Linked DNA regions of Rattus norvegicus. The protein of the gene in region 1 purifies or fractionates together with the protein of each later gene. This does not show direct contact. Links are inferred from orthologs where the notes say so. Each region holds a gene or a part of one and is shown in the gene's direction. Other genes may lie near its edges. The genes, in order: Eif3l and Zfp746.

Region 1 (4,545 bases):
GATGAGCACTCTGTAGCCCTGCTCTGATAGACGACAAGTCCCTGCCTGGAATCTGACTTTCTTGTTCTCTCTATAGACGCTGATGGACCTGCTCCCCTTGAACTCCCCAACCAGTGGCTCTGGGACATCATCGATGAGTTCATCTACCAGGTGTCTGTCTGTTCAGCCTCAGCCTTAACCTCAAATAAGTAATTCAACAGACAGTAGCTATAGTCGGTGTTGAATTATGTCTCTATCATGGCTGCGTGGCCCTGGGGCCCTGAGGCCCTGGGGCTCTGGGCTCTGGGTTAGAATGGTTTTCTGAAGAGAATAGTTGGCTGACCTTTTTTTTTTTTTTTTTTTTTTTTTCTTTTTTTCGGAGCTGGGGACCGAACCCAGGGCCTTGCGCTTCCTAGGTAAGCGCTCTACCACTGAGCTAAATCCCCAGCCCCAGAAAAGAATTCTTGAAGAGCTGCTTTTGCTCTCCAGAGATCTCCGGACAACTCTGCTCTCAGTAGAGAAAAATTCTAAAGAACTGCCATTGCTCTCTGCTGGCTCACCTCGCCTAGGTTTTTCGGTTTTTGTTTGTTTGTTTGTTTGTTTGTTTGTTTTTACATATCAGTCTTGTCTTTTACTCCAGGATTCCTTCGATTGTCCTATGAATCAGCATCCCATGACCCTAGCACCTTACCTCTTAGGAGGCAGCAAGCACACATTTTCTTTTTTTTTTTTTTTTTTTTTTTTTTTTTATTTTGGTTCTTTTTTTCGGAGCTGGGGACCGAACCCAGGGCCTTGCGCTTCCTAGGCAAGCGCTCTACCACTGAGCTAAATCCCCAACCCCGTTGGCTGACCTTTTGACTCAGGAGAAAGGAGGAGAATCCTCCGGCCAAGCTGTATCCCAAGATAAGCATAATCCCTTGGCTTAGCTGCTGTTCTTTTGTTAAGGGCTTTGAGGATCAGTCAGTAAGTGCCCTTGAGAGTCTTCAGGCCAGCACACTAGACAGTGGGTGTGGCACCTTCTTGGCACTCTTTTCTTTTAAATTGAGACAGGGTTTTACTATGTGGAACTCACTTTGTGAACCTGGCTGCACTTGAATCCACAGACATCTACCTTCTGCTGCTGGGATTAAAGACACTTGCTACCACCCTTTTTGGTGTAGTTTAGTGTTTTCAGTCCTCAGATAACATGAAAGTGCCTGTTTGTATCAGTAAGTCTCGGGACATTGGCGCATAGGTGTTTATATGAATTTATCTGTTACTTAAAGTAATATGCTTTTTTTTAAGGTTTATTTCTTTCATGTGCAAGTGTTCTATCTGGAACCTTTGTGCCAGAAGAGGGCATCGGATCCCCATTCCAGATGGCTGTGAGCCACCATGTGGGTGCTGGGATTTGAACTCAGGACCTCTGAAAGAGTGTTCTTTACCACTGAGCCAGCTCTCCAGCCCTACAGTTGATGCTTTATTTCACCATCTGCTGTGACTTGAAGACATACCCTTCGTCTTCATCCCAGTACTTAGGCAAAAACAGGATGTGTGGAAGTTTGAGGCCACCTGAGCCAGATAGCTTTGCTATTTCCACCTCTGAAAAGTTTAATGAAAGCCCGTGTCACATCATTCTCCGCATGTGACTGTCACTTGGATTTATGCCCCTGCCACATTGTTTCCTTCTGCAACAGTTCCAGTCATTCAGTCAGTATCGCTGCAAGACGGCCAAGAAGTCAGAGGAAGAGATCGACTTCCTGAGATCCAACCCTAAGATCTGGAACGTGCACAGCGTCCTCAACGTGCTGCATTCTCTGGTGGACAAATCCAACATCAACCGGCAGCTGGAGGTGTACACCAGTGGAGGTGAGTGTGTCTGAGATCTGCCTGTTCCACTGCCGCTGTGTCTTGAACCTTTGTCTGGATTAATACCGCTCAGAGTTTTTGTTGGAAATGCCTTATATGTTAAAAAAAATACTGTGGGTTGGGGATTTAGCTCAGTGGTAGAGCGCTTAGGCCCTGGGTTCGGTCCCCAGCTCCAAAAAAAAACCAAAAAAAATACTGTGAATATGTGTGAATGATGGTGGGCGCGTGAGCTCGTGCAGAAGTTGATGCCTTCTACCGTAACATGGATTTCAGGATTGAAACTTGGGCCAATGCTGAGCCCTTTTACCCGCTCTTCCTTATTGAGAACCATAAGGTTCTGATTATTTATATGTCACCACTCTAGTTGTAGGTATGACCCTGGGAAATGGGAGCCCAAAGTCTCCTACAAAAGCCAGCTCTACTTGGAGCATCAGACCATTTATGTTTCAAGACAGGGTTTCTCCTCATAGACCAGGCTGTCCTTGAACTCAGATTCACCTGCCTCTGCCTCCTGAGTGCTGGGTTGTCCACCGCCAGGCAGGAAACTTTAATAACAAACCCAAGTCTGAAATAAACCCACTCCTATTCACTACACCTGGGAGGAGCGCAGAAGCTCGTTCCAAGAACAAACTCAAATTTAAGAGGAACAGGTATGTGAGGATAAGAACAGAAACAATCAGCAAATGAACTGCCCTTCTCAAAGCAGCTGTTAGTCAGCAGAAGCCGGGAACACAGCCAGGTTCAGGTTCCTGAGATTACTGGGCAGAGGTGTTCCGTGGTATAGGAGGTTACCTGGTTACATGGGACCTGGCAGTGGTGGTCAGGCCTGGCCTGTTTTGTTTTGTTTTTGTTTTGTTTTGTTTTGTTTGTTTTTGTTTGTTTTTGTTTTTTTTTTTTTATTCTTTTTTTCGGAGGCCTGGCCTGTTTTATCTTCCCCTTGGAAACAGCATGGCATCTGTCCCTCACAGGTGACCCCGAAAGTGTGGCTGGGGAATATGGACGACACTCCCTCTACAAGATGCTTGGCTACTTCAGCCTGGTGGGGCTTCTGCGCCTACATTCTCTACTGGGGGATTACTACCAGGCTATCAAGGTGCTGGAGAATATTGAGCTAAACAAGAAAGTAAGTACACCTGTCTCCTCTGTTCCGACTTCAAGAACACTGACCTGCTGAGTAGCCAGGAAACACCCCCTATCCCCACCCCACACACCGGTTGAGAGCTGAGCCTGAAGACTCTGTGCTGGATGACTTGGTTGGCTGGCCATACTGCAGTGAGTACTCTTGGAGTCTGTGTCCTGTTTTCAGAACACGAGAGTGAGAGCTCTTTACTAGAGTTAAAGCTGGGCATGGGTTGCGCATGCACTCTGGGGAAGCATGGGCAGCAGGAGCACCACAAGTTCAAGGCCACCCTGGTCGCCATAGCAAGTTCAAGGTCAGCCAGGCTTCTATATAAATAAGAACCTGTCTCCAAAAGCAAAAACAAATTCCCGAGACACGTAGGGGTTTTTTGTTTGTTTGTTTTTTTCTTTGACCCAATTGATAAGATATAATTGTCCACTTAAACATACAAAGCCCAGAACCATCCATCCCTTAGGAACATTAATAACAACCTGTAAATACACAGAGCAGAATCTTAACATCACCTGCCATGGCTTCTCACCTTCTCTCTCCTGTCTCTTCCTTTCTCCTCTAGTCTCCTCCTCTTCCTTCAAACTTCTCTCCTGCCCATCCTTCCTTCTCTTCCAATGACAGGCCTCCTTCTATCCTGTACCTGCCCCTCACCTGTACTTTACAAATTCAATGGGGAGGTTCTGGTGAAGTCATCTGATTCCGGAGACTAGGTAGCTGTCCTTGGGGCAGTGGAATTAGCATCAAAATACAGATAACTTCAGGGCAAACCACAACATTTCCCCCTTTTTGTCCAGTTAAAAAGCCTTTTCAAGGGATTGGGGGATTTAGCTCAGTGGTAGAGCGCTTGTCTGGGAGTGACCAAATATCTATACACATGGGAAGCCTAACACGGCTTCCAGAACTGAGAGGTTGTAGAGACAAATCTCCACTAGCACAGTCCCCTGTTAGCAACATGTGAGCGCAAGTCTTCAGCCTTCTGGCCCAAAATCAACTGACAGACTCTCGAAATGCAGATTTTGAAGGGCTGATCACCCTGTCTTGGCAGAGTTTATCAGTCAACTATTCTGCATAATTTGTCCTTCTCTAGACAGTATTAGTCTGCGGATGAAATAGGCAGTTTTGTCCAGTGGCTGCCTAACCACAAAGTATTGCCTCACCTGGAGGTAGAGATGTTCAAATTCTTCATTAAATCTGCCAAAGGGGAACTGTTAGGAGCAGATATGTCTCAACGAAAGATAAATAACTTTAAATCTCAAATTTTGTGGATATCTGACGTTTTTGAAAACCATCTATCTATATAAGGTAATCTGAACTATTGTCTCCATATCCTAAATTTTATCTTGAAAGTACTCTTACAAACTCAGAGCCATGACTTTGCTATTTGAATCTTAACTCACAGGTGTAATCAACTCAGAAGTTTGTAATGACAACAATAAAAGGACTGGCTCTAAACCTTGTACTTTTAAACTTTTTTGACAAATAAATTCTATACCCAAACAAAGATGATTTAAGCTTAGTTACCAAATGAGATTATGACTGTACAATTCAATCTAGCTGTTAAATTACAACCAATTTTAAATTCCTCA
Region 2 (3,811 bases), on another chromosome or scaffold:
AAAATTGAATCACAGGCTGCTCGACTACTTTCTCTAGAAGGTCGAACTGGGATGGCGGAGAAGAAGCTGGCTGACTGTGAGAAGACAGCTGTGGAGTTCAGCAACCAGCTGGAGGGCAAGTGGGCCGTGCTGGGAACCCTGCTGCAGGAGTACGGCCTGCTGCAGCGGCGGCTGGAGAATGTGGAGAATCTGCTACGCAACCGAAACTTCTGGATCCTGCGGCTGCCCCCTGGCAGCAAGGGCGAGGTCCCCAAGGTAGCCTTTGGGAGCCCTGGTGTGGTTAGCCTGAGGGTCCATGCCTGAGAGTGTGAGGGTGGGCGAGTATGACACTGGTTTCAGGTGCTCCTGACCTTTGATGACGTGGCTGTGTGTTTCTCTGATCAGGAGTGGGGCAAGCTGGAAGACTGGCAGAAGGAGCTCTACAAGCATGTGATGAGGGGCAACTACGAGACACTGGTTTCCCTGGGTAAGCCTAACACACCTCTGGAAAGCATGATTTTACAAGTTCCAGACCTCCCTTTGTGATATGGTTGTTTTCATGACAGTCATATGCAGAGTCCTAGATAATTTGAGCAAGGAGATTCCTTTTCCCCCACCTTTCTGTCTTCCCACCTCATATTGTAAGGTAGAGTCAGATATTCCCTTCTGCTTGACGAAGTAGCAGACTGAGGAAAGTGGTGACCTCCGTTCTCACTAGGCCCAGAGAATTGACATCTCCAGTTTGGCTGAGACTGGAGTACAGGTGTGCTGGCAGCTCTGCAGTGTATTTTTAACCAACTCCACTTTAGCAAAGGAATTGTTCTCTTAACATGGATTGGATGGCTTTTATGTGACACAGCACAGGGTCTGTGATAATAGAGTAGACCTTGCCTCTCAAGACAGACGTTCTTTCTCTGCCCCAAAGCCCTGCTCCTCCCACCCCTGGAGCTACTGTTCTGAAAGACCCTCTTCTTAGTCTTCCTTCCTGGCCAAGAGTATTTGGTGGGATTCTGCTTTGCAGACATGCCTTGTCCAGCACCACCAGCTATGTGGACAGACGACTAGGGGGTAGGGTCTTTCACTTGCATTATTCATGTGCAATAGCACCTTTCCCACCCTCTGGACTCTACACAGGACTGCTCGAAGACTTTGAGGAGAATGCCTACCATTGATAACTGTTCTTCTGCACCACTCAAGACATTTAGTTTCTAGGCTGTTAGTGATTTTACTATTGCCTGTCCCAGCTCTGATGAGAATGTGGCAAGATTAACCTCCTGTCTTTCCTCAGACTATGCCATCTCCAAACCCGAGGTCCTCTCCCAGATTGAACAAGGCAAGGAGCCATGCACCTGGCGTCGCACTGGCCCCAAGGTCCCGGAGGTTCCTGTGGACCCAAGTCCAGGTGAAGGGTTGGGAAAAGGTCAGGGACACAGCAAGTGACCAAATGAACACTTAAGAGTAAAGGTCCAGGATAGTGTGACTCTTCCTAGAGACAGAGAGGACGTTTCAAATCTAAATCTTTCATGGTTGAGTCATAACTCCGGATTACTCAGCTATGTTGTAGAAACTAGTCATTTCCCTCCTGGACATTGATAGCAGAGCCAGAAGCAGGGGCACAGAATTAGAGGATGAGAGAAGAGGGAGGGAGAGAGAGTAGAAGACGAGCTTGTTCAGAACCATTGAAGGAGTCATCCAACCTTTTTTTTTTTTTTGGTTCTTTTTTTCGGAGCTGGGGACCGAACCTAGGGGCCTTGCGCTTCCTAGGTAAGCGCTCTACCACTGAGCTAAATCCCCAGCCCTGAGTCATCCAACCTTAAACATAACTAGGAGTTTCAGAACCCATTGTCAAGCTGTGTGGTCCAGTGAAATTGGAATCAGGCGTTTATTCAGCTGATGTTAATACTAAACAGTGTCTGAGATTTCCCTGCAGCCAGTCAGCACCTCTACATGTTTAGGGAGGACAGGATGCTAGGATGCTGCAAGGAAGACCTTGCTGGGTCCTTTGGTGAGAGACATTGTCTCTACTCAACCTCTGCCTCCTCCCTTGCCTGTCCTTGGGTTTGTGTCCTTGACCTATCACTCCGACTTCCTGTGGTTACCTTCTATGTGTTGTACATGTGTACTTCATGTAAGTCAGACAAGGGCAGAAACAAGTCTAGAGCTGAGCACATGGAACAGTGCCAACTGGATGGTGGAAAGGTGCCTGTTGAGTTCTTTCCCTGAAAGAGATGGGGAACACATGGCCTTGACTTCCAAAGCCAAGGGTGAGAGGTTACTGGTGCCTGCTTTTATTTCTGAATGTTTGTAACAATAAGGTCCAAGAAACGGCTAGTTGCTAGCCCTCACTCCATTGTCCATTGGAACCTGTCTGCTCTTCCCTCCCCAGTCCAGTCATCTGGGGTGATTGAGTTGGTGCATGCCCTTGTCGGGACTCTTCTCTTCACCTCCTGTGATCTCCATGGTGCTTTACAGGACCTACCATGCACAGCAGTACTCCTGGGTCCAGTGTATTCCATCTATCAGCTCAGGCTGAGTCTTGACTCTTCCCACGTGCTGCTGCCCTACAGCTGTTTGTCCTTTCCCGTGTGCTTTGGCATTGTGCTTTCAAAAGTCAGGTGTCCTTGCTCCTCATCACTGACCCATGAGCACACTCAAACACACACACACCTACCTACCTCCCTCCCTCCCTTCCTCCCTCTCTCTAGAAACCTTGTCTTGAGAGCTAAAATGTTAGACCTCTGAGCACCTTGCCATCCTCTTCTTCCCTACTCTTGCTGATTGCTATATCCATGTGGTGGCTTTACCCTCTTCACTGTCTTGGCACGGTTATGGCTTCCTTATTCCTTCCACATTTCTAGTATGGACTCCACAGCTACTTACTGCTCCTGGTTCTTCCAGTCTGAACCTCTGATCCAACAGGTCTTCAGTCTATAGGACCTTCTAAGCCTTCATACTCCTCATCCTCCTCTCACTTTCCCTATATTCACTCTGCTTGACAAAACTGTAATCCCGAAAATTGACTGTCTGCTCTGCACCTGCACTCAGACAGCTGCCAGTGGCAAACCTATAAACCTGCAGCACTCACCTGGTATTCCTGACCATTTAGTGGGAGCTCCTTATCAGCCAGCAATCACCAGATCACCTCAGTTCCCTCACTAGCTCAGAGGTTGATAAAGTACTACTCCTAGGCCAAACCTAGCCCTGTTTATATAGGGCTCACAAACCAAGTATTTCAATTTAGTATTAAAAGGCCATTTTTAATTTTAAAAACGTACTCTCAGGGACTAGAGAGACAGCTCAGTGGTTAACAACATGTGTTGCTCTTAAAAAGAACCCAGGTTCTGCTCTTAGCACCTGCATGGTGTTTTGCAACCATCTGTAACTCCAGTTGTAAGAGATCTGACACCTTCTGACAACCTTAGGCATCAGGCACACATGTGGTACACATACATACATATGAGCTGAACATTCACACACAGAAGACAAAATGAATCTGCCAGGCGGCAGTGGTAATACCTTTGATCCCACACTTGGGAGGCAGAGGCAGGCAGAGTTTTGTGAGTTCAAGGCCAGCCTGGACTACACAGCAGTTCCAGAACAACATTCGTTTAGGGCCCTCCAACTCCTATTCTGGCTGTTCTGGGTCAGCTGCTCTGAAGTCATAATTGTAGCTCTGCTCACCTAGCTACTATAGTCTAAGGACATCCTCTAAGTCATCCGTTTCATCTGGGTGCCTCTTTCTCATGAGTTTGTCACCATCCTCACTGACTTAATCCGTTTTCTGTTATTACTGAATACCACAGCTGGGTCATTATACCCTACCCGGAGCCTG

The links.
Region 2: the proteins of Eif3l (region 1) and Zfp746 purify together in Homo sapiens (affinity purification with mass spectrometry; 3 studies listed by BioGRID and IntAct, counting the BioPlex papers as one, with this or other methods). This does not show direct contact. The link is inferred for Rattus norvegicus from reciprocal best matches to the Homo sapiens genes EIF3L and ZNF746.

Annotation. Positions count from the first base shown.
Region 1 is NC_086025.1:112,531,510-112,536,054, forward strand, and holds the start of Eif3l (eukaryotic translation initiation factor 3 subunit L), read left to right. Parts: upstream 1-1,504; 5' UTR 1,505-1,622; coding exon 1,623-1,827; intron 1,828-2,795; coding exon 2,796-2,950; intron 2,951-4,545. UniProt on the Homo sapiens protein: Component of the eukaryotic translation initiation factor 3 (eIF-3) complex, which is required for several steps in the initiation of protein synthesis.
Region 2 is NC_086022.1:78,403,082-78,406,892, reverse strand, and holds part of Zfp746 (zinc finger protein 746), read left to right. Parts: coding exon 1-255; intron 256-384; coding exon 385-466; intron 467-1,267; coding exon 1,268-1,381; intron 1,382-3,811.